Nothobranchius furzeri: one gene and its partners. The protein of the gene in region 1 interacts with the protein of each later gene in a biochemical or structural test. Links are inferred from orthologs where the notes say so. Each region holds a gene or a part of one and is shown in the gene's direction. Other genes may lie near its edges.

Region 1 (8,342 bases):
CGATTATCACTTGTAAAACGCTTTGGACAAAAGCGTCTGCTAAATACATAAACATATGTTTTATATCACAGGGATTGCCAAAACAAGGATTGTCCAACTGTGGAATATTTGCAGTGATGGTAACTCTCATTATCATCATCATATTATTTTCTGGGTTTTATAATAATTTCATTCTTCTCAATAGTGTGCATTCTACTTTGTGATGGGAGCATCTTTTGATTTCAGTGAGGTAAGGTCACTGATGAGAGTAAACGCTTAGTGGTGGACTGGTTCACTAAATTGTAGGTTTTCATATCCTGCAGATGGACACGATGAAGATAAGGAGATGGTGGTGTGAAGTCCTTTTAAGAAACTTCCCGGTGAAGTAAGGACAATAACTCGCTATGCTCTTTACTACATCGTATTACACCAATGGCTACTTTGTTTAAAGACTTTTATTTTGTCATGTTTACAGATCCAGAGAACTACAAAGAGAGAGAGAGAGCGGAGAGGAGTAGAGGGAATAGCAGCAGAGAGGGCTCACTGTGGAACTGTTCAGATAGTTTGTGATCACCTCATTGGTACTATAAGTGTTTTCAGTGTATATTTGCACTAAGTTTGTGTTTTGTAAATGCAATAGTGATGTTTGGAACTGACTTAAAATAGTCATTTATATTTTGCAAGCCTCCGTGTGCCGAAGACCACACATATGCCAAAACCACAGAGGAAGAACCTGAGGTTAGTCTCCTAGTTCACAGCATGCATAATTAAGAATTGTCATTTATATTTACTTTTCAGGAGACCAAGAATCTGAATAAAGGGTTTAGAATGGTCTCTATCAGGGCTCCTGGAACAGATGAAAGCCAAAAGAAAATTTCTTTTGCCTTTTAGAGGCTCAAAACAGCGTTTTAGATTGCTCATAAACAGCATTATCGGTCTCCTTTAAAGTTGAACTGAATAAAACGGAAACCACCAAAATGTTTCTTTAACTGGAAATAATACTTCTTTAGAACAGCATTTTGTATTATGTTTGAAATTATGTCAGGAACAACACTGAGAAATTTGGTGTTGTTGTTTTATGGTCTTGCAGATACAGATACAAAGGACACCGCCAATTTTACAGGCAAGACTCACTCATATTCATGTTGTCTTGTAATTTTATGACAGTCTCATGGTGCACATGTGTGTTTGTCAAGCTCCACACTAGTTTCACTCTAAAGGGACACTTTGGGACAACTCCATCACATTCCAACAATTTTTATTATGTCAGTTCAGTGAACATTAGGTTGATAACCTTCAAAGAACAGAGACAAGTGTTAGATGTCACATAATTTATATAAAATACAATAAACAAAGAACTTTCTAAACTAAATCTTCCCACACTAACAGTGTAAACGATTAAATTAAAAGCATGACTTTAAAGGTCACCCAAAACAACTTCATATCATAAACAAAACAATAGTTACCAACCATTGGCATCTTTAGAGTCAACTCATTGTTAGAGCTTGCTGTGCTGTTCCTGTTTGACTGAGGATTGAGAGCCACCACCCTGCATAGGTGTTGTTGGTGCATTCTGGGAGATGTAGTTCTCAGTGGTGGTGGACCAGTTAGACCTCCATTTACTCAACTTTAACCCAACAGTGTTGTTTTCATAGATGCCGCTTCTTGTGCTTGAAGCTGTGCTCCTGGAGGTGATCCTAACAGAAGGAGATGCAGCTTACCTGTCACTGGCACTGACCTGCAAACACCTCAACACCATTGTTTCAGATCCTGTTTTTAGGAAGAAATGGCCTGTATTTGATTTGATATAGCGCCTTCTAGAGTCCTGGAACCCCCCAAGGCGCTTTACAACACAATCAGTCATTCACCCATTCACACACACATTCACACCCTGGTGGTGATGAGCTACAATGTATCCACAGCTGCCCTGGGGCGCACTGACGGAGGCGAGGCTGCCGATCACTGGCGCCACCGGTCCCTCCGACCACCACCAGCAGGCAACGTGGGTTAAGTGTCTTGCCCAAGGACACAACGACAGCGACAGACTGAGCGGGGCTCGAACCTGCAACCTTCCGATTATGGGGCGAGCACCTAACTCCTGTGCCACCGTCGCCCACTTTGCCTGGCTGGATGGTAATAAATGACCAATGATGTAAATTAATTGGCTTAATTGGCTTAATTTAATTATTATTTTGTTAATAGGTGAGATTCACTGGAGAAGCTTTTCTGCAACCTTCAAGTTTGAGCACACGATTCCGTTCACCGTGGGAAGATGCTCTTCCTGCAACGGTCTATACAAAGACTGTGTGGGCTTCACGGCAAAAGGACGAAGAGGAAAGTACCCTCGCTATTACTCTGGTGGGATACCTGGGCGCTGCCCTGGCTGTCAGCATTGAGCATGTTCAAATGTTCTAACATTGCCAAATAGTCCAGTGAAACATTTCTGCAGCAAGTCCACTCAAATGTGTATTTTTTTTTTGTAATGTTGAAAAGAACTGCTGCTGTTTAGATTTTTTAAAACAATTTCCTGTTGCTCCTCTGTTTGAGAATAAAGTTTCTTGAAAAATTGGTTGCAGTTTATATAAAAATGACTCGAACTTAATAAAAAATCAAATTACAGGTAAAACTCAAAACATGAGAATAGTGAAAAAGTTGAATTATTTCAATAACAAGACTCATTCCATACAAAGCCAGATATTTCAGCCTTTATTTGTTATAATTGTGATAATTATGGCTTACAGATGATGAAAGCTCTGCATTCAAAAATTCTGACGATTAGAATATTACATTAAAAAAATCCAACACTGCTTTTAAATAGAAAATTGTCAGACATAAGTACTTTGCAATTGGTTTTGCTTTTACTAAAATAAATTAATGGGCAACATTCTAATTTTTGGAGTTTCACATGTTTTTAGAAATTATATTGATATGAAACTAAAATCCATAAAAGTCTTTCTCAGCAGCTGTTCAACAGAGCCATCCTTTTGGAAGTTATTCTTTTGTGCTAAAATGGAAAGTTTTCTACACACATCTACCCATTTTTTTCATTAGGTTACATGATAAAATAACAAAAAAATTAAATCAGAACAACTGGAGACACAGGTGACACTTAGGAGAGCTGATGTTACATCTTTGGAGGAATTAGGTTTAAATATCAGTTTTAAATACTATGAATAGTCTCATCAAACTCAAATGGTTACAGTTTCCTACAAATAGTATAAAACTAGGCCACTTGTAAAAATCATCCTGATGAGATTTCTAATGACACTGGCGTTTCAAAAATACCACACCAATTTAAAAAAATTTAAGTGATGTGAAAAGTGTGAAGAATCACAGTCATTCTTTGATGAAGATTATTAAAAAATATAGTTTTAAATGATTTTTGGCTGTGTCATGTTTAGTACAACGATGTACGAAAAATAATGTAATAAACTGTAACTATTAATGAATCAAAAATATAGAAATTACGATAGTTTACCTAGAATTATATTTGTTTCATGAACAGTTAAGATTTTCCAAAAGGTAGCTCGACATTAGCGCCCCCTTCAGTTCCGAAAAGCAATTATACCGTTTCCATATATGGTATTGTTGTGGCCAGTGCCCCTCCCCGCCCCGTGCTACAAGCTGTAGCCGGTGGCTCAAAGAAGCAACAGGAAGCGTTTCGCGGGAAAACGCATGCGTCATTTTACGTTGCTCCACCTAATTGGCTACAAACCGGAAAACTCTGGACCTGACGCACAGATTGGTCGAAAGCGGCGCGCCAAACCTCACGTGGTCTCGCTTTTCGCGCGAAACGGCTCCCTGTTGTCTGGAGGAAAGTGTGCTGCTGCTGTGCGTGAATTACCACCGGGAGAAACGAGCTGTTCGGTCCAGGAATTTTACCAGCAACATTTAAACCCACTCACTGCAGCATGGACGTTGCTACAGCAACCGCGGAGAATGCCGGGACGATGGTGAAAGACGAGTTGGCGGAAAAGTGCCAGAAGTTGTTTCAAGCTTTCTTAGAGGAGTAAGTCGGCCTCGGCGTGCGCGTAGAAGTGTTACCGCGTTTAATAACCTTCTTTATCCGGTAGTAAACGGACCCGCTCTGTGCTGCTTGGGTGTGTTTGATTTGTCTTCCGTTATCAGATTTCAGACCGGGGACGGGGAGGTGAAATACGTCCGGGAGGCAGAGGAGCTGATCAGGCCCGAGAGGAACACCCTGCTGGTGAGCTTCACTGATCTGGAGGGCTTCAACCAGGAGCTGGCCACCACCATCCAGGAGGAGTACTACAGGTGGGACAACCACGCCACGGCGGCATCTGCTGGATTTGACCTGAAAACCGATCAGGTCAAACACGCGTGACAAAGGGGAACTTCTTTTCAAAAATCCAAAACGTCTTTAGACTTTTAAAATAGTAATAAACTGAAAAATACGTAAATTATCTCTAAAACACGGATTTCTTTCATGTGATCAGAACAATGTGACGTAAACTGTTTGGGGTTTGAGCGTCACAATGATGCATTCTCTGGAAAAGGTTCAGCTGAACACTCCAGTCCTTGTAGTACTGCCATTGTTCAAGTCCGCCTGGCCATGTTTATGTTTATCTTTTAATAAATCTGTCAAAAAATGTCCCATCCGCACAAAAACATTTACCTCATTTTCAGGACAAGCTCAGCTTTCAATATCTGTTAAGATTTTGCAGGTATGTAATAACAGAAAAAACAAAAAACGGATGTCTTCAGAAATTTCTGAATAGAAAAAACAAATGTACATGAATAAAAAAGTCTGAAATAGCAGAAATCAAGCCCAACATGTACTGATTTGTTTACATGTACATGTGTACATGTGTGATATTGTCTGTAGTGTTCGGGCGTTTTTAGCTGCTGTGGTCTTCTGCAGAGCAATTCCTGTCCTGCTGAAGATAAAACCATTTCTTACACTCTGCACATCCAGGGAGTGTTTTTTATTTTTGCACCGAGTTTTTGTACCTGTTTCATCCCTGAGGGGAAGCTGATAGCCAGGGCTTCTTCTGGGAATAAATCTGGGTGTCGTGGGTCGACGGTACCTGGGTTTGACTTTGTTGTCCAGGAGTCCAGAAGATGTGGAGCATCTCCAGCAGCATCCTGTCTTTGACATTGCCTGTTGCTGGTGGATGGCCCTTCATCAGAAGAATCTCTAAAATAAAAAATATATCAAATTATATCATATTTATTCAAGCAGTAAATACTGGTAAATGAAAACTGAAAAAAAAAAATACAGAACTAAAGCTAGAAATATATTTGAACTGTAGATAAACTTACTGCAGCTGTGATGGCAAATCATCTTCACTCACACGCGGATCCTCAACCACAGATGTACATGGAGGTTTTGGTTTCCTGGAAGTAGTGGTAGTAGTATAATAGTATAGTAATAGTATTAGCAGGAATACTGGACAACAAAAACTGGAACGTGTTCAGTGGAAAATATTTAATGCAGAGATGCTTACGGTGTTTGTGACGGAAAAACGATGTGGGCACATCTTGCTCCTCATCAACAACTTTTGAGGGAAATTTCCTCTTTCTTTCATTATTTAGAAAAACGAATCTTAATAAAATAATAAAAAGCCTCCATGAAAAACGCAGCTGAAAAAAAACTGAACTACAGGTGGTGTAATGAGTTAAATTACATGTTATCTAATAAACCGTAAGACATAGGATACCATAGTAAATATGAAATCAATCTTATGGATCTGTGGGTCTTTAACCAGAAGATCGGAGCTTTTTATTGCAGAGATTAGATAACAACCTCGTATTCACTCATAGACAACAGGAGAGAGAGTCTAGTTTAAAATTTAAAGATTTATTACTAAACAAATTAAACTAGACTAACTTAAACACTAAATGTATGGTGTAACTAAGGTGAATGAGACGGAGAATGGTGTAGTGTGGAATGTTGCTCAGAACCAGCAAATCCGAAGAAGCGATTAGTTCTTGAGGTTCATAAACACATTCGACGCCATTTCGTCAGCCTACATACCCTTTTGGAAGTCCCCGTTAGATCAGGAATGGCGAGGTCCAGCTGGACCCTCTCTGGAACCGAAACCGGTAGGAAAAGCAGCGTTTGCCGACCAGACCAGTCTTTGAGATACTTCCGGGCCACGACGGTTTTGTTGGCATCTAGCGAGAACCAAACCCGGGTCATGATGGTTCAGCTCTTATTCTGAAAGGAACCGTTGCAGCAGTTGGAACAGCAACAGATTTTATCCAGCTTGTCGTTGGTTCTTTTGGCTGAAGAGGAAAGTTACGGATTGGCCACTCCGACAACTTCTCTAGAACGCTTTGAACTGGCGTTAAAGATGACGTGGGCATAGTTTTATACTTCAGATGTTTTGGTTTATGGTCGAATGAAAAGATAACAGATCTACCAAACACCACCAAAACCACGCCGCCGTCAGATCTGGCAGATTCTGATTGGATCAGTAATGTGTCATGTCTTAACGCTGTGAGATCAGTCCTAGTGGAACATTTAAAGTCACATTACTTATTATATTCTATAGGATTATAATAAAGTAATTAATATTTTGATTTCACAGATTGGTCACTTCTTATTATTGACTAACACTTTGCTTGATTAGCTTATTAAAAATAGAGTTCTTTGATTTATTAAAAAGAGAGATTCCATTCTTCACTCTTCTCTTGAGCTGGAATGAAGCAGTTTATAACAAATGCATGAGACCTTGAGGCCGTATCTCATGCAGACTAGTTCTGTGTCAGAGGAGAGGGGAAAATTACTTTTGGTGGAAAACAGTCATTTCATTCCGTTACAGTGGTAAAACGAGTACAAACACGGCTAGACGATGTCAAAAATTACCAAATATATCCTAAAATTACCATATACAAACATAAAGTAAGATATTTACCAAGAATATTTATTATTTATATCCGTAGAAGAGGTAGAAGTTGAAAATGTGCGTCGAAAACAATTCCTCTGCTCCTCTAGGAAGTGTGATCAGTTTCTGGTTCTTGGGCAGGGACTTGCGTGTCATTACCGTAATGTGTTGTATACCACTGAAAGCGTAGAGTCTCAGCTTTCAGAATCCGTTAGAATCACGTTGATTGCGTAAACGGTTGAAGAGTTATTTTGTGTCGGTGCCGACACAACCGCAGTAGCATTGGTTTGTACGATTCTGGGAGATTTAATCTGTGTTAATCTGTTGTTGTCAGGGTGTATCCCTACCTCTGCCGGGCTGTACGCAACTTTGCGCGAGATCACGGGAACGTTCCTCTCAACAAAGAGTTCTACGTGGCCATCGAGGAGCTTCCCACCAGACACAAGTAAGATGCAGAATAATCCCAAACCAGCTGGCTTCTACTTAAAGATGCAGCAGAACGTCAGATGCGATCGCGTGTGTGTAATCTAGGATCCGGGAGCTGTCTTCCATGCGTATCGGCACCCTGGTGAAGATCAGTGGTCAGGTGGTGAGGACTCACCCGGTCCACCCTGAGCTGGTGAGATAGCCCGCTACAGAGACGACGGCGTAGAGGTTAATGACCTCTGATTGTGACCTGCTTTGCGTTTTCAGGTGAGCGGTACCTTCCTGTGCATGGACTGCCAGGCAGTGATCAAAGATGTCCCTCAGCAGTTCAAATACTCCCCTCCAACCATCTGCAGGAACACCGTCTGCAACAATCGCTCCCGCTTCCACCTCGACACCCACAAATCCAAGTTCATCGACTTTCAGAAGGTAACGCGTAGGACCGATGTGTTTTCGAAGCGGTATCGGCAGGTGTCCGACTTGCTCTGATACTCGTGTTCTTCAGGTGCGTATCCAGGAGACGCAGGCGGAGCTCCCTCGAGGTTCAATCCCACGGTCACTCGAGATCGTTCTGAGGGCAGAGGCTGTGGAGATGGCGCAGGCTGGAGACCGCTGTGACTTCACCGGGACCCTCATCGTGGTGCCGGACGTCTCTCAGCTCAGCACTCCTGGTGTGGCTTTAGATTCCCAAACAGGTCTTGGATCAGGGGATTTTATTCTCTGCTGATGTTTGGGTGTGATCTCCTCAGGTGTCCGAGCAGAGTCCAGCACCCGTGTACCTGGAGGTCCTCAGGGCTTCGAGTCGGAGGGTTTGAGAGGACTGAAAGCTCTGGGAGTCAGAGAGCTGTCGTACAGGCTGGCTTTCCTGGCCTGCAACGTGGCCCCAACCAACCCACGAGTAAGAAACCCTCAGTGCAGCTAAAGCACAGCAGGCTCTTCTAATGCACGTGGGACAGCTAGGGATGGGTACCGAATTTGGTACTTTTTAAGGTACCGACTGAATTCCATAGTACCGACCGAGCACCTATTCACTTCATTTGAAACGGTGCCTCGTTTTGGTACCCGTCCTTCACAACGAGAACTTGC
Region 2 (8,113 bases), on another chromosome or scaffold:
TCCGTTCCTGTCTCAGATTTGTCTCCTGTGTTTATTTTCAGGTGCCGTCTCTGAACGACGTCCCTCTGCACTACCTGAAGCCCAACAGCCTGGTGAAGTTTCGCTGCCTGGTCCAGGACATGTTTGATCCCGAGTTCTACATGGGCGTGTACGAGACCGTTGATCCATCCACCAACGCCAAAGTGCGTGTGTCCCCGTCCTCCCGCCTGTGGCTGCTTGTTTTTTTATGTTCTGTTATGTCCTGTTTTTATGTTATGTCCTGTTTTCTGTCTGCTGCTCCCCAGATGCTGCATTGTGGAAAGTATAGAGACGTGGCCGAGTGTGGGGTGAGTTTACGTCCGTTCAGGCTGTTGGTGAAGTTCTGCAACACGAATAAGCCGATCTGTATCGTCTCCAGGTGGACTTTAACTCCAGGAACATCGTGACTGCGGAGAGGCAAACCTTCTACTGTGTTCCAATTCCCGGAGAGAACCAGTGGGTCAAGGAAATATCCTAATCCCGCCCGAGGTTTGATGAAAACACACTTTTTTGTGTTATTTACCCAATCCGATGCTTAAACACTTCCTGAAAGACACTGTGGAGCGTTCCTTAACCCTGCTGCACAGATATGCGGGCGCTAGCCAAGCGCGACAACTCCCCTCCACCTCGTACGTCCCGAGCAGACAGAAACGGAGCTACGAAGAAGACGAGGACATGGACGTCCAGCCTCAGAAGCAACGGGAAGGACATTCTGGTATTAGCTGCTGTTTAGATCTTTATGTTGTGCCTCGCCATCGTAGCTGCAGCTCAGGACATCTCAGTGTTTTTAGACTTTTGTGATTTCCGCTGCAGCTTCTCAGAGTCCGACAGAACCAAGCAGCGACTGTAAACGCCAGGAGACTGAAGCTCCTTCCAGCCAGGCAGCTACTTCCTCCCACCTTGACCTGAACTTCCCACTTCCTGGAGAGAAAGGACCCTCCTGCCTTGTCAAGGTGCGTTCTGCCTCCGTTTTCCCTGCAGTGGCGTGCGGCGCGGGGGCTGAAAGGTGCCTGTTGTTGTCCAGGTTTATGAGAACTGGGACGGCTTTAAACTGAACGACACACTAGAAGTCTACGGGATCCTCTCCGTCAGTCCTGCTCTCAGCGCTCTGGTGGATGAAAAGTAAGAAAACGTTTGAGTTTATCCTCCGGCCGCCCGTCTGGGAACTCATCCTCCGCTCCTCTACAGAGACGACCTCATTGACCCCACAGAGTGTATGGAGACGGCAGAAGAGCAGAGGGTCCGCAGCCCGCCGGCGTCTCTCGTCCCCCGCCTCCATGTGCTCTACGCCAAGCCGCTGTCGCACAACAACCCCCTGCTGCCCTGCACACGCCTGGAGGACAACGGGGCCTGTGAGGAGACGCAAAATTTCCTTTTCCTGCTTTTTTTCTGAGGAATTTGCAGCAGGAAAAAAAAATCTGAATTATTCAGAAAAACCGAAGCGTGAAGTAAATGTTTAGTGTTTATGTGTCTTTACGTATTTTCCTTCATCTACAGTTTTATCGTCGACTCTGAGCGAGATGGCCGCCGTCAGGGAGGAGCTGCTTTCATATTTTACTCATGTTTGTCTGGGGGACGCTCTGGCTGCCGAGTACCTCATTCTGCATCTCATTTCTACCGTGTACGTCAAGTTTACGTCATCCTGCTCAGACTCGGAGCCCTGGAGGGGCAGAACATTGGATCCTGACTTTGTTTTGAGGAACCCTGAGATAGAACGTCACATTGTCTGCGCTCGCCCCCGTTTACCCGTCTCACGGCTGAGGGGAGCAGAACCTCCCAAGGAAAGAGGAACTAATCTCAGAAACCCTCAAAACAAGGGGCAGCAGTAGCTCGGGAGGTAGAGCGGGTTGTCCAGTAATCGGAAGGTTGCGGGTTCGATCCCAGCGCTTTGGGCAAGCCACTTAACCCACCTTGTCTGCTGATGGTGGTCTGAGGGACCGGTGGCGCCGGTGTTGGGCAGGCCTCGCCTCTGTCAGTGTGCCCCAGGGCAGCTGTGGCTACCCTGTAGCTCATCCCCACCAGAGTGTGAATGGGTGTGTTGTAAAGTGACTTGGGGGGCTGTAGAACCCTAAGAAGGTGCTATTCAAATACAGACCATGTACCAAAACAAAGCCAGGATCCAAAAATGTCTCTTATTTTTCCCACGCCCCCTCCAGAGCTCAGTAAGTTCCCGTTTTGTGGCTTTGGGGATGCTTTCGCCTGAGTTTGATTCCTCCCTCCCAGATATGCCAGAAGGGATGTTCTCCCCCTGGGAAAGTTCACCTTGAACCTGAGCGGCTGTCCGACCGCGCCCCCGTACGCCGAGCGCCTTTACCAGATCATCCAGCAGCTTGTGCCTTCGGTGAGTCCAGACCCAGAGGTTTCCGTTTCCGTGCGTTCGTCTGCTAATGGGCCTTAAATGATTTTACCTGCAGTCCCATTACCTGGGCATGAGCCTCCAGAACATGAACCAGCTGCGGCTGGTGCCTAAGAAGGACTACATCGCAAACCGCCTGACGAGCGGAACCCTGCAGCTGTCCCAAAACACCTCCCTCTTCCTGGATGAAACCCAGCTAGAGCAGGGACAGTTGGACACAACAGGTGGGACCTCTGCTAGCCACAAGGGGGCAGCACTGATCATCCTAATGATCTGGTAAGCAATCTTCTCTCCTGTGTTGTAGGTGTGCGTAATGTCACGGCCATGGGGAACCTGATCTCGTGGCAGAAGGTTGATTATGACTTCAACTACCATCAGATGGAGTTCCCCTGCAATATTAACGTGCTCGTCGCATCCGAGGGTCGCTCACTGCTGCCGGTAAGAGCCAATCAGGTGCTGCTGCAGACTGTAAACTCTCTCCTGTCTATTTAAGACGCGCACCCCGGTTGGGTTTCCACTAGTTTCTCATGAGACGCAGCCGCGTCAGAAGCTGGAGGTTGTGCTAACAGCTGCCACTGGCCAGCTGCAGACCCCCCTCCGTGCCGCAGCCTTAGCCGGGGTGACGCGCTGCTGCCGGCAGCACGAGGAATGCGCCATGTGCTATTCCTGGATGCTGCTCTAATGAGTTGCCGTGTTGGCAGCTGCGTGCTACAGGAACAATCCAGGGAGTGGCGTCACATGGGGCGATATGCTCACCCCGAGCGCTGTAAACAAACCTGTACATGGCAGCGTTTACGTCAGACTGTTTATGCTGAACCGTGGGCTCAGGCTCGAGGCTTTCTCTGGCTCCTGGGTGAAGTCCTGACGCTTCTATTCCTACAGTCCGACTGTCACATACATCTGCAACCGCAAGTGTCTTCGTCCCACGTAGAGGAGTACATCAGGAGCGTCCACGTCCACCCGCAGGTGTCCTCGCAGCTGAACAAGTTCAGAGTTTATCTGGGCGTGGCACGTCTGCTCGACTACAGCATCTCAGACGACGTGACCAAGGTGAGGCTGGACGTGTGCCAGGACACGGTTAAAGAGCCTTTTGGTTGTTTTTACATCTCTGCTTTCTGCCCGTCAAGTCAGTGGAGGAGGACTTTGTGGAGATGAGGAAGGACGACCCCCAGGGCGTTTCTGCAGAAGATCTCCACAGGCTGCTTGTAGTGGCCAGGTGAGCTCAGACTAGGTTCTCCTCCAAAGTAGAACTGAGTTTTATTAGCTTACAAGGCTGTTGAAGACTAGGTTCTTCTAGGAACCATTTATTTTTTAACTAATTATTTCTGATTTTAACAGTTCACTCTGAGGTTTTTCATGCAGGCTGAACATGATGATAGTCTCCTACACCTATCTCCTGCATTAAGGTTGGTTTATGCTTGACGCGTCCGCGAGGGCCGCACGGAAAAGTTGCGTCATTTTAACAACCACGCCCCTCCACCGCACCTCCGCACGGCCCAGAATTTCCGCAACGCACACCTCGGAAAATTTCTAACCACGCGGACGGACGGACGCGGGAAAACATGGCGGACCGGCAAGATCTAGTATGGCAGAGGTTCGTAAATACAGACATTTGTATGATTCAGCTCTCAGAGATCACCGTGATCAACATGTTGTTAATAATTCTTGGAGAGAAATAGCTCGCACTGTCGGAAAAGACGAGAACGCTGTTAAAAATGCTGAAATGCCATGTTGTAAACAGTAATTTCTACTTCTACTATGGTGTAGTGTTGGATGCATGCCATAGAGCTCCATGCTGCCCCCTACAGTTTGGGAGAATATTGGCTCACCGCAGAGACAAGCCGCACGAACCATAAACGCTGCGAGTTGTGAAGCGCGTTCCATCCGCGAGCCGCATCACCGCGTGGAAAGTAAATGCGTCAAGCATAAACCAAGCTTTAGCTTCTGATAGAAAACAGACGGTGAAACTCTAGGATTAGAAAATCCTGACAGATCTAAGTCACACTGTCACTAACATTCATCGACTCGCCCATGTTGGCTCACGACGGGGAAGGCTGTTGTTGGTTTAGCGTCCAGGAAACAGCAAAGAACGTCTCAGCTAGTAGAAGCTAACTGTTAGCATTAGCAACTCCACCACACAGCAGAACTTCTCCAGGCTTGTGTTATTTGTGGAGATGAAACATCAACGTTGCAGAGCAGTCAGTGGTAGAGTCGTGTTGTTGTTAGCCAATCAGAGCTGTCCAAATATCAGGAATCCAAATCCTGTCGTCTGTAACTTTTTTTTTCTCTGGCAGCCTTCTGTGAGTTTTTGTCCCCGGAGTACGACTTAAAAGGCATTTATTCCACTGCAAAAATATAAAAAAATGAGTAAAGTTGACCAAAATGTACATTTATGTTCCTGAATAACATCTGCACAACAAATGCTCTAAAATCTGTTTTTATTTGCCATATCTGGCCGCTGCTGGTGACACTTACTCCATAAGTTCCACATAAATAAGCATTTATTGTAGAAACCTGAGCGTGAACCGTTATGACAGATCAGTAACTGGTGTTGTGTTCAGCCTAGCCGTTAGCTCATCGGTGCGGTCATAAAAGCCGTTTGTCCAGACTGCGGCTCCTCGTGAAGGTTAACTGAGCGCCGAACGATGCCTTCTGACCGTCGGCATCTAGATTTCCTGTTCAAGATGAGTGAAAAGCTGAAACCCGACTGAGTGTGTGTGCGTCTCCGTCCGCAGGTTGCTGTCCCTGAGCCTGGGACACACGTCCCTGTCCAGAGACAGCTGGCTGAGAGCCAAACACATCGAGACACTGCGAAGGAGCCGAATAGAGCAACACAAGAGCGTGAACGGCAACGAGCCGTGAGCTCACGCGCGGGACAGCTCAACGGTTTTCCTTTTGTTAGAACAGTTTAATAAAGTTTTTTCACCTTTTTGTAAACTAAAGATTTATATATTCCAACTAGAATTAAAGGTATGACTCAATAACAGCCGACTGTTTATAATGTGTAACTGCAGAGCCAACTTCCTGTTTACATTCAGCACGGTGCATTTAACAGTTTGTCTCACGAGTAAATAGATTTAATAAAACTTGTGCAGCTCATGTGTCATCTTTTCATTCCAGACCAAAAAGTGTAAAATGTTCTTTTTATTAACACCCAAAGATAATAAATAGGATCCTTTAATATACAACACATCTGAGTACACGGTGGAGAACAATGTCATCGGTCAGGTTGGTACAGAAGAGGAGACGTGACATCGGGGAAATGTGCTTCAGCAGCGCCAACAGAAAAAACCTGATATTTGTGTCTCGGGTCGAAACGAAAGGACACAAAAAATGCACTTGGTGTGAAAACAAAAGGAGACAAAACAGCCAGCAAATGTGTCAAAGTAAAAAAGCTGACAGCATCAGGAGGAATGCTTTTTAGCACAAGATAAAACGAACCGCTCCAGTGTTGAACCTGATTAAAATTCCCGTAAGCGTTAAAACTGCGCTACAGCTGCAGCTTTGGCAGCACCACGTACTAAAAGCAGCACCTGCAAAGCAGCCAAGACTGAAGTCTCGTGTCACACGAACCAGACAAACAAATCCACGCGTTACCTGCTGGTGAGCCAACGGGAGTGAGGACTACAAAGATGGGACCCCTTTCATCTTGGGACACTTAGCCACAAAGCTAATCCTCATCATTTGTGTTGATCAACAACAAGAAGCCAGGGAAAACCTGTACTTAAGGATAAAATATACAGTTTACAGCTGAGGTTTTAAACCGAGGCGGCAGAGGGGATGTTGGAGCAAACGTACCGACTATTTACATCCTCCAACGACGTCTCTGCCGTGAAACATGCCAATCACGCCCCGGAACACATTTCCAACAGTATGCTAAATGAAACACGTAACAACAGACTTTAAAAGGTAGATTTTTCTTTAAATACCTGATAGAAATAATCCCACTTAAGTTCCCGGTTAAGGCATAAATATATACTCTGGTTTTGGGGAGTGCATAAAGCGTCGGCATTCCTAATAAATAACAGCATATATGCTAACTATATGCTCCACTCGTTTTAGTCAAACTGCTAAAGCTGGCCGAGGATAAGTTCAAACAAATACGCTAACTAGAACGGAACCGTTTCTCCGATTCCGACGAAATATCGATCTGGCCGGTTTCCTTTCATGAGCTTTCACAAAATGGAAATTGAAAAAAATAAAATAAAACCTTGTTTTTAAACTGAGGAAAAGCTGTGCTCATGTAGGGATGGACAATACTCACTGTACATACTGACGACCAGAATACTACGGCGGTCGGACGTAGTCGATATCTCGCCTAATTACGCTTGACAACACGGAGATTAGCTAAAGTAACTACCAACAGCTTGTTGTGTCTGTCGGACAGATAAACAGAGGGTAGTATTCCACACCATTACGATGTTACGATTCACAAAAAAACATGTTTGGTTGATCACTACCAGTGGTACGGCAAATTGAGGTCTACGTCACAAGCGTGCTGCATATACAGGATGAGATAAGGTACTTTGTCAGAAATGGTCTTTATACACGCTGCTAATGCTAACTGGTGGTTACCATTAAACAAACTGAACGGGTGGCGTCGCGTTTACAAAAGTAAAAAAAATAGTTCCCTCCGGGAGTACTCGGCTACTCGTAACAAGACCGGCGTCTACCGAAGCAACTTAACTCGACAGTAACATTGTTTATGGAGTAACCTGCGGTTTGGTTGGAGAGCGAGCCAATTCAAGTCGAGATCAGTCCCAACGTTTAATCGTTTCTACTTTTAAAACCAGCCGAAGAGCCACAAACTGATCCGCGAAGGCTGTCAGAAACCGCGTCGCCATCATTGCAGTTTGCACAGAGAGGAACAACTGATCTATTAAAGTAGAACTTAAATATTTATGTCATTTATCAGGTGTGCAACGTCGCATGGCAAAAGAAAACAAAAAACGGTCAGTGCTCTGAAAAGAAGGGAAACCCACCACAACGTGCACGTAAACAAGTCACACAGGTGGGGCGGATTCGTCAGTTCAGTACAAAAGTCTCTGCTGAGTGGGCGTTTTTTAGGGGGTCCATGAGCACGTTTCTTGGCCTAATATTGATACTCTGTGCAAGTTTCCGCTGATGCTACCATTAAGGACGCTTCTAGAGAACTACAAAATCCTGCTACAAGGAAAGCACTAGATCTGAATGATCCTCGTCTGGCACTGAGTAAACATTGCCTTCAGCTCGTTCTCTTGGGCCTCGTTGACAGCGTCGGGCTCGGGGCTCTTCTGGACCTTTGCGACAGCATAGTTGATGCCCTGGGTGAGTCCTGCCTGGGTGAGGCTGGCCACCTGGACCATGGAGCTCTTGATCTTGGCAAAGGGAGACACCACTCGGCTGCCGTTGCTGTCGGTGGGTGAAGGTCCGAGGCTGCCCTCCATGTGCGAGCTCAGGCTCTTCTGAGAGCCGCCCGAGACTGCAGAGTTGGGCTTCTGGACGAAGAGGAGGTTGGAACTGGAGGTAGAGGTTCGGACGTCTAGCTGGGACGGCCTGGGGAGCTGGGGCTCCGCGTGACGATTCTGCTGATTTGAGCTTGGCTGCTTGTCTGAGTCTGCTGGGGTGTTCTTCTGAACTGCAGAGCTTAGTGGAGGAACAGCGACAGGCGGCTGCTCCCCAAACACTTCAACGGGTTTAGTCTGTGTGTCGTGGATGAACTGGTGGCAGTAGGCATCAATGGGAGTGCCAAAGTCAATC
Region 3 (7,884 bases), on another chromosome or scaffold:
TCCCCTCTCTAGCAATGACAGGATGCAGTTTTCCAGCTCTCAACCTGATTTGGCAGCAGGTGACTGGGAAGCCATGTTGGTGATCAGCTCAGCTGACGGTCAGGTCAGCTTCTCTCAGCCGACCAAACCGGAGCACATGCTGCTGGGGAGTCAGTTAGTTGGCACGCCGGGAGCCAGTCAGGTAGATGACAGGAGTTCCCATACCTGGTTATGTTCCTGATGATGATGCGTGGGAGTTTTAATCTGCTTCTCAGGTCGATGCTGCTTCTAAATGTCCCTCTCAGATGCAACATCTTAACTTTGTTCTTCTTTTTTTTTTTTAAAGTCTCCGTGGCAGAAATTGGTGCGGAGAATGACTCGCTTCTTTACCAACGTGAACGCCGAAGCCTCCCTATCCGCTCTGAAAGAAGTGTGTGACGGCATGACGCTCGGCTTCAAGCTCACCTGCACCAAACAGGTAAATCTGGGCTTACTTTTCATATGTTAAATTTCATTTCAGAAAAAAATTCAAAAAGAAAAATGGACGTCTATTAGTTATTTATTTATTTATTTATTTTACTTGAAAGGGAAAAAAAAACGCCATTCTTGTCTTCTGCTCCTCGATTCCATTCAGTTAGATGTGGAATTCTGTTTTTTAGGTTTCTGTCCTTTCTCAGTAAAACGCATTTTGTTAAAGAACCTCAAAACTCAGTTCCTCCTGCTGCTGTGCGTCACATGACCAGGGTCTCACGCACAGCCCTGCCTCTCGTTTATAGCAACGCCTTTTGCAAAGAACATCAAAGGTTTGGCTGCATTTGGTGAAGCTAATCAGCAAAAGAGCTAAATGTGACATCTGGTATAGGATTTGTTTTGCTAAATAAGGAAATATCTAATAAAGCATCTCATCATCCATGGCATCTATTTGCAGCTGAAGCAATATCAGTCTTCAGCAGCAATAAATAAATAATGTAGGAGCAAACTCAGCCTGGCGTCTACAACCTTTCTTTGATGCAGCAGCAACACTGAAGGTGTCATCAGGTTAGTTTTTCCGAAGAAAGATGATCAAGACTCATTTTTACGCAGTTTATTTTGTATTAAAGTCTCTGTTAGGAGTATTTCTCTTATACGATGGCACCATCTAGTGGCTGACAAGCATATCACACAAATAATTTCTTCAGTTTTTTAAGATGGCGACTTCACCTTTCTTGTTATTTATGTGCTTCTGTGGCCGACACGCAGAGTAAAAACACGTTGTTTTACAAGTATTATTCTCATGTCATGCTGTGTTTGCATATATTTATATTTTAGAGACTTACTTGTCCGTAAAAAGTTCATCAACTCTGCATCAGCCGAGGTATTCCTTAAATTTGAAGCGTCTAAGCGGTAGTCTAACGCTATTGGTTAGTTCTAGTTGGCGCTCAGTTTCCTATTGCATGGAGCTCTGTGGTGTAGGGGGCGTGCTTAGTAACAAAAACTTAATTATTGCTTAGGTTATATCACAGTACATGATGAGACAATCACTTTTACGGATTTCTGAAAAATCATACATTCTGAAAGGGGGAAACTCCAGAAAGATACTGTAACTCTTATTTGTACAGTTTGTTTATTTATTTGGGATATTCAGGTTTTTAAGAGTAGATGTTTCATATTTATAGAATAGATGATAGTTTGCCATGGGTGACCCTACCAGAGGTTTAACAGCGTGGCTCAATCCCACCGGCACATCTTCCAGTGAGGAAGCAGAGTCTGGGAACTTTGGGTTGGACTCTAAAATCTCTAAGGCTGAAGTCACTGATGTGGTCAAAAAAGTTCTCAGTGGGAAGGCCCCAGGGCTGGATAAGATTCACCCGGAGTTCCTTTACCCCCAAATTCCACTACCTCCGCTCCGCTGCGCTCCGCTCCGACACGAACGCCGGAGCAAAATCGGTCCCGTTGTAGTCAATCGGAGCAATTCCACTACTGCGGTCGTGCTCCGGCAGTGCGGCGCCGTGCGCCGCCCTCTGTTCCGGCGTCCGGCAAAAATAGAATCGATCCTATTTTCGCCAGATGCCGGAGCACCTCCGCAGTCAATGGACAGAAATCACAACGGCCCAACAGGAAAAGGAGCCAGCACAATTTCCGTTTTTCACAATAAATCGATAAACAAAAGGCGTTTTTTGTTTCATATGCACAGGTTTAACAACTTTTAACAACTATCAATGGCGGCTGAACTTTAAATGCACAAAAGTAAGCCATAAATACAGTTCCCACTATCAAAGTAGTCACACTTTGTTGATCCAAACACTGCTGATCTCTCAACATAAATGATGGGCAGATTAAACAGTTCATGCCGATGCTTCTCCCACACAACGGGTGTTTGGATCTAACTTCTGCGTTTATTGCTCGGACTGTATCGCAAGATCTCGAAAATCCCGCGCATGCTTGTTTGCCCCCCTCAGGTCTCCGCACCGGAGCGGAGCCGTTGTAGAGTGGGTACCAGTAAAATTGAGTTCGGAAACGAGCGGCTGCGGAAGGCGGGGGCGGACCGGAGCGGAGCGGAGGTAGTGGAATTTGGGGGTAAGGCTCTGGATGTTGTGAGGTTGTGTTGGTTGATGCAGCTCTGTAGTATCGCATGGGCATGGGGGACAGTTCCACTGGATTGGCAGTCTGAGGGGACCGCAGAGTGTGTTCCAACCGTGGAGCACTGGACCAGCCTTACCCCCAAATTCCACTACCTCCGCTCCGCCCCGGTCCGCCCCCGCCTTCCGCAGCCGCTCGCTTCCGAACTCAAATTATACTATACCCGCTCTACAACGGCTCCGCTCCGGTGCGGAGACCTGAGGTGGGCAAACGAGCATGCGCGGGATTTTCGAGATCTTGCGATACAGTCCGAGCAATAAACGCGGAAGTTAGATCCAAACACCCGTTGTGTGGGAGAAGAATCGAAATGAACTCTTTAATCTGCCCATCATTTATGTTGAGAGGTCAGCAGTGTTTAGATCAACAAAGTGTGACTATTTTGATAGTGGAAACTGTATTTATGGCTTACTTTTGTGCATTTAAAGTTCAGCCGCCATTGATAGTTGTTAAAGGTTGTTAAACTTGTGCATATGAAACAAAAAACGCCTTTTGTTTATCGATTTATTGTGAAAAACGGAAGTTGTGCTTGCTCCTTTTCCTGTTGGGCAGTTGTGATTCCTGTCCATTGACTGCGGAGGTGCTTCGGCGTCCGGCAAAAATAGGATCGATTCATGCTGGACGCCGGAACAGAGGGCGGTGCACTGCCGGAGCACGGCCGCAGTAGTGGAATTGCTCTGATTGACTACAACGGGACCGACTTTGCTCCGGAGTTCGTGCCGGAGCGGAGCGGAGGTAGTGGAATTTGGGGGTTAGGGGTATCCTGGAGGGTGTGTGGGAGTTTACCCATCCAATCTACATGTGTTTTGTGGATTTGGAGAAGGTGTTTAACTGCGTCCTGTGGGGGGGTACTCCAGGAGTATGGGGTACCAGGCTCTCTTATACAGGCTGTTAGGCCCTTGTATGACCGGTGCCAGAGTTTGGTCCGCATTGCCGGCAGTAAGCCGAGCTCATTTCCAGTGAGAGTTGGACTCCGCCAAGGCTGCCCTTTGTCACCGATTCTGTTCATAACCTTTATGGACAGGATTTCTAGGCACAGCCAAGGTGTTGAGGGGATCTGTTTTGGTGGCCTAAGGATTGAGTCTCTGCTTTTTGCAGATGATGTGGTCCTTTTTGCTTCATCAGACCATGATCTCCAGCTTTCACTGGAGCGTTTTGCAGCCGAGTGTGAAGCGGCTGGGTTGGGGCTCAGAGTAGACTCGCTGCTCCTCCACGTCGAAAGGAGTCAGATGAGGTGGCTCGGGCTTCTGGTCAGGATGCCTCCCTGGTGAGGTTTTCTGGCACATCCAACCGAAAGAAGACCTAAAGGAAGACCTAAGACACGCTGGAGGGACTACGTCTCTCGGCTGGCCAGGGAACGCCTTGAGATTCCCTGAAGGAGCTGGCCCTAGTAGCTGGGAAGAGGGAAGTCTGGGCTTCTTGGCTTACGCTGCTACCCTCGCGACCCAACTCTGGATAAGTGGAGTCTGGTCGTGGGGGCATTGAATTGATAGATAGATGGATAATAGTTAGTACTTTACCTTCAGAATTTAAACTTTGGTTTTGCACTAAAAGATAAATAGTTATTTAATTTACTTAAGAAAATTGTGTCATAATTATTTCTCTAAAAGAAAGATGTTTGCTTAATTATAGTTCACTGTTTGCACAAAGAAAAATAGTCATTTTGTTTTATGTACTAAATAAAAAAACATGCAAGTAATTTTTTCTATTAAAATTAACCCTTAAAGTATAGATACCCCCAAAAAGTGCCATTCAGATACTGGTACTGTTATCAGAAAAAATCCAAACCCAGCCCTGGGTATCACACATGTTCATTTCAATAAGCTGACAACAAGGACCATTGTGTTTGCTTTAATGCTAAATATGCCTCAGCAGCTACTAGCTGCATCACAGTGTGGTGTGGGAACAGCACCAGGGATCCTAAATGCCTGCAGGGCATAGTTAAGACTTTCAAAGATTACCCGGACTCCACAACCCTCTCTGCAGAGTGTGTACCACAACTTTCTGTACAGTCTACACTTAAGATAGCATTTTTTATGTTTATTTAATCTTATCTATTTTATTCCTGCTTAGTTTGGCAGTTTGGGTGACGAGGTAAGAGTTTCATGGTGGCTGTAACAACATTTTCTTTTGCACAGAATAAAGATTCTAATCCTTGGATCTCGAATCCTTAACAAGTCAACAGCTTTGTTTGTTTGCAGACGTGGAGACATTGGTAACTTTGTCTGGTCCAGTTTTGGATAACGTAATGTGTGCGTGTTATTTATTTAATTTCTACATTTTCATTATGTGTATCACAAACGGGTCCATGAGTCCATGTGTAATTTGAAGCTCGTCAGTTCTGTTGGTTAACTTATTTCCATCACTTTATTATTTAATGTAAAACTCCAGATGTCTTTCATTTTGGTTTTATGGTTTCTGCTTCTAAAACGAATGATCAAAAACCAGGAAGTACAAAGACTACTGGTTCAGACCCGTTCCTTTAGTACGTTCTTGTTGATTAACAGATCTCTGCCTCTCAGGTGACTGTGAGCATGCTGGACAAACGTAACAACAAGCTCATCTTCAAAGTCCATCTACTAGAAATGAGCCAGCGAGTGCTGCTGGACTTCAGGCTGTCTAAGGTTGTTCTCTCAGAACTGTGTGCTGTTCTGCCTTTGAGTTTTTCCTTGAAACTGACGTGTGTGTGTGTGTGTGTGTGTGTGTGTGTGTGTGTGTGTGTGTGTGTGTGTGTGTGTGTGTGTGTGTGTGTGTGTGTGTGTGTTTTCAGGGTGACGGTTTGGAGTTCAAGCGCGTCTTTGTGAGGATAAAACACAAGCTTGCTGACATCGTCAGCACTCAGAAGGTTTTAGTTCCATGAGACGTTTTTACAAACAGCCCGTCTAAAAGTGGACTTGTTGTTCTGCTGACGTGTCGAAGGTGAATCGTGGTTTTAGTTTTGTTATTAGGGAAGCTCAAAGTAGGATATTTATCAGAGCAGAGTTGTGGTTGACATGGTTTTACTCAACCTTCCGTTGTGACCCAAGTGTTTGCTTTTTCTTTGTTGTGTTACAATCCAAAGTTGAATAAATTATTAAAACACCCCTTTATGTTGGATTTCAGTGATTAAATGATGTCAGAAGCATAAACAGTTTTTATTGTTGTTCAAAAGTCTCAGAGATAAATGAGTACAGCTTGGTGAAACCTGTTGCAAGCTAAATTATATGATTCATACAAAAAAAACTGACTTGAGTCATTTATGCTTTTTATGACTAAATTACATGGAAATATGTTTAATAAAGAAAGTTTATAAATAATTTTCTATAACTTTCTATGATTCAGATTCTGCCTAAGGCATCTAGTTTAGTTTTAGGAGCCTGTAGCTTTGACTGTGATGGTGACACTGACTGGTTCATTGTCATCTCCAGGGGGAGGGGAATGGCTGATGGTAGGGGTGGCGGGACTGGGAGTGGCACTCAGGGGTGAGGCAGCTCGGGGTATAGTCACAGTTGGACCTGGGGGAGACAGAAATGTGATTAGACTAGTTAGTTGTAAGGTGATGCTGACAGAGTACAGTACCCAAAAACAGGTGCTGGTCAAAATTACAATATGATTACAAAGATGATTTATTTCAGTAATTCCATTCATGAAGTGAAACTTGTATTTTAGATTCATTCATTACACACAGGCAGATATATTTCAAATGTTTCTTTAATTTTGATGATTATAATTGACAATGAAAATCCTAGATTTTCTCCGAAAATTAGAATGTCGATTAAGACCAATGCAAAAAAAGGACTTAGAAATGGTGGCCAACTGAAAAGTATGAGCATGTACAACACTCAATATTTAGTTAGGGCTCCTTTGGCCTGGATCACTGCAGCAAAGCGGCGTGGCATGGAGTCCATCAGTCTGTGGCACTGCTCAGGTGTGATGAGAGCCCATGTTGCTCTGATAGTGACCTTCAGCTCTTCTGAACTGTTGGGTTTGGCGTATTTCATCTTCCTCTTCACAATACCCAGTCGATTTTTGGTCAGGTGAGTTTTCTGGCCGATCAAAACGGATACCATGGTCCTTAAACAAGGTACTGGTAGCTTTGGTGCTGTGTGCAGGTGCCAAGCCCCGTTGGAAAATGAAATCTGCATCTCCATAAAGTTGGTCAGCAGCAGGAAGCGTGTAGTGCTGTAACACTTCCTGGTAGACGGCTGTGTTGACCTTGGACCTCAGAAAACACAATGGACCAACACCAGCAGATGTCATGGCACCCCAACCACTGGACTGGAAACTACACTTGATCTCAAGCAATGTGGATTCTGTACCTCTCCCTTCTTCCTCCAGACTTTGGCACCTTGATTTCCAAAGGAAATTGAACATTTACTTTCATCAGAGAACACTGGACCACTCAGCAGCAGTCCAGTCCTTTTTGTCTTTAGACCAGAGACGCTTCTGATGCCGTCTCGTTCAGGAGGGGCTTGACACGAGGAAAGCGACAGCTGAAACCAGGTCTTGCATATGTCTGTGCCAAGGGGTCACCCCCTGAATCCAGAACTTCTCCCAACAAGGAAGTGCCAATATTTGCAGTTCCACCCTCATCTGCTAAGGGTTGGCACCAAAACAGAGCAAGTACTCAATGAGTCCCATGTTAAAAATGCCATTTTCACAGCCGAAATAAACACGTTTACAGCCTGGTTTAAAAAAAACAAAGCAGTTTAGGTTTAATAGATCTTGTTTACATTCATGACAACTCTGAGGGGGGTGCTTTTTTTGTAATTCTTTTGTTAAGTGTATTAAATGCTTGAAATTATGAATAATTAAAGAGCATCAGAGCCACCAGCTAGCAATAGGAGCTAGTTCAGGGAAAGGCCTCAGCCTGGGCCTCATGTTAATAGATGTTCAGCCATTTAAACTCTCTGAACTTTGTGTCCTCTGTGTGTCCATGTTTTGATGTTAATCATGGAATTACAGCCTCGCACGGAAGCCAAGCGGCTGTGTGGGTTGGCTACCCCAGAGCTCCTTCTTAGCTTCTTGGGTAGGCTAAGATAGCTAGTAGCTACATTGGTTCATTTGTTCCAACTGTAACAGCTCCGCCTCTTTTCCTATTTTTGGATTGTCTGGGCGTGACAAGACATGTGACATGGTCAAAATGGTGGGAACCTCCCATTTTATATCGAAACCATATTAAATGAGTCAATGGGCATTATCTGTCCATGTTGCGAGGGCAGCAGCCTAAGCCGAGAAGCCCAGACTTCCCTCTCCCCAGCTTGAAGAAGAAGAAAATATCATTTCTATAGCGCCTCTCAAGATAAAAAT

Evidence for each region.
Region 2: the proteins of mcm6 (region 1) and mcmbp form a complex in vitro, tested with the Homo sapiens proteins (2 studies listed by BioGRID). The link is inferred for Nothobranchius furzeri from reciprocal best matches to the Homo sapiens genes MCM6 and MCMBP.
Region 3: the proteins of mcm6 (region 1) and chek1 form a complex in vitro, tested with the Homo sapiens proteins (2 studies listed by BioGRID, with this or other methods). The link is inferred for Nothobranchius furzeri from reciprocal best matches to the Homo sapiens genes MCM6 and CHEK1.

The regions. Positions count from the first base shown.
Region 1 is NC_091751.1:64,039,295-64,047,636, forward strand, and holds the start of mcm6 (DNA replication licensing factor MCM6), read left to right. Parts: upstream 1-3,759; 5' UTR 3,760-3,890; coding exon 3,891-3,988; intron 3,989-4,107; coding exon 4,108-4,254; intron 4,255-7,164; coding exon 7,165-7,275; intron 7,276-7,361; coding exon 7,362-7,449; intron 7,450-7,523; coding exon 7,524-7,685; intron 7,686-7,761; coding exon 7,762-7,927; intron 7,928-8,005; coding exon 8,006-8,154; intron 8,155-8,342. UniProt on the Homo sapiens protein: Acts as a component of the MCM2-7 complex (MCM complex) which is the replicative helicase essential for 'once per cell cycle' DNA replication initiation and elongation in eukaryotic cells.
Region 2 is NC_091752.1:5,504,537-5,512,649, forward strand, and holds the end of mcmbp (mini-chromosome maintenance complex-binding protein), read left to right. Parts: intron 1-41; coding exon 42-182; intron 183-284; coding exon 285-326; intron 327-397; coding exon 398-487; intron 488-603; coding exon 604-733; intron 734-831; coding exon 832-971; intron 972-1,042; coding exon 1,043-1,140; intron 1,141-1,206; coding exon 1,207-1,370; intron 1,371-1,515; coding exon 1,516-1,639; intron 1,640-2,241; coding exon 2,242-2,359; intron 2,360-2,432; coding exon 2,433-2,598; intron 2,599-2,678; coding exon 2,679-2,812; intron 2,813-3,256; coding exon 3,257-3,424; intron 3,425-3,501; coding exon 3,502-3,590; intron 3,591-5,109; coding exon 5,110-5,236; 3' UTR 5,237-5,473; downstream 5,474-8,113. Other genes in the region: inpp5f (phosphatidylinositide phosphatase SAC2), read right to left, coding at 7,555-8,113. UniProt on the Homo sapiens protein: Associated component of the MCM complex that acts as a regulator of DNA replication.
Region 3 is NC_091750.1:44,922,641-44,930,524, reverse strand, and holds the end of chek1 (serine/threonine-protein kinase Chk1), read left to right. Parts: intron 1-12; coding exon 13-181; intron 182-325; coding exon 326-457; intron 458-5,117; coding exon 5,118-5,219; intron 5,220-5,365; coding exon 5,366-5,455; 3' UTR 5,456-5,684; downstream 5,685-7,884. Other genes in the region: V-set and immunoglobulin domain-containing protein 10-like 2, read right to left, coding at 5,944-6,089. UniProt on the Homo sapiens protein: Serine/threonine-protein kinase which is required for checkpoint-mediated cell cycle arrest and activation of DNA repair in response to the presence of DNA damage or unreplicated DNA.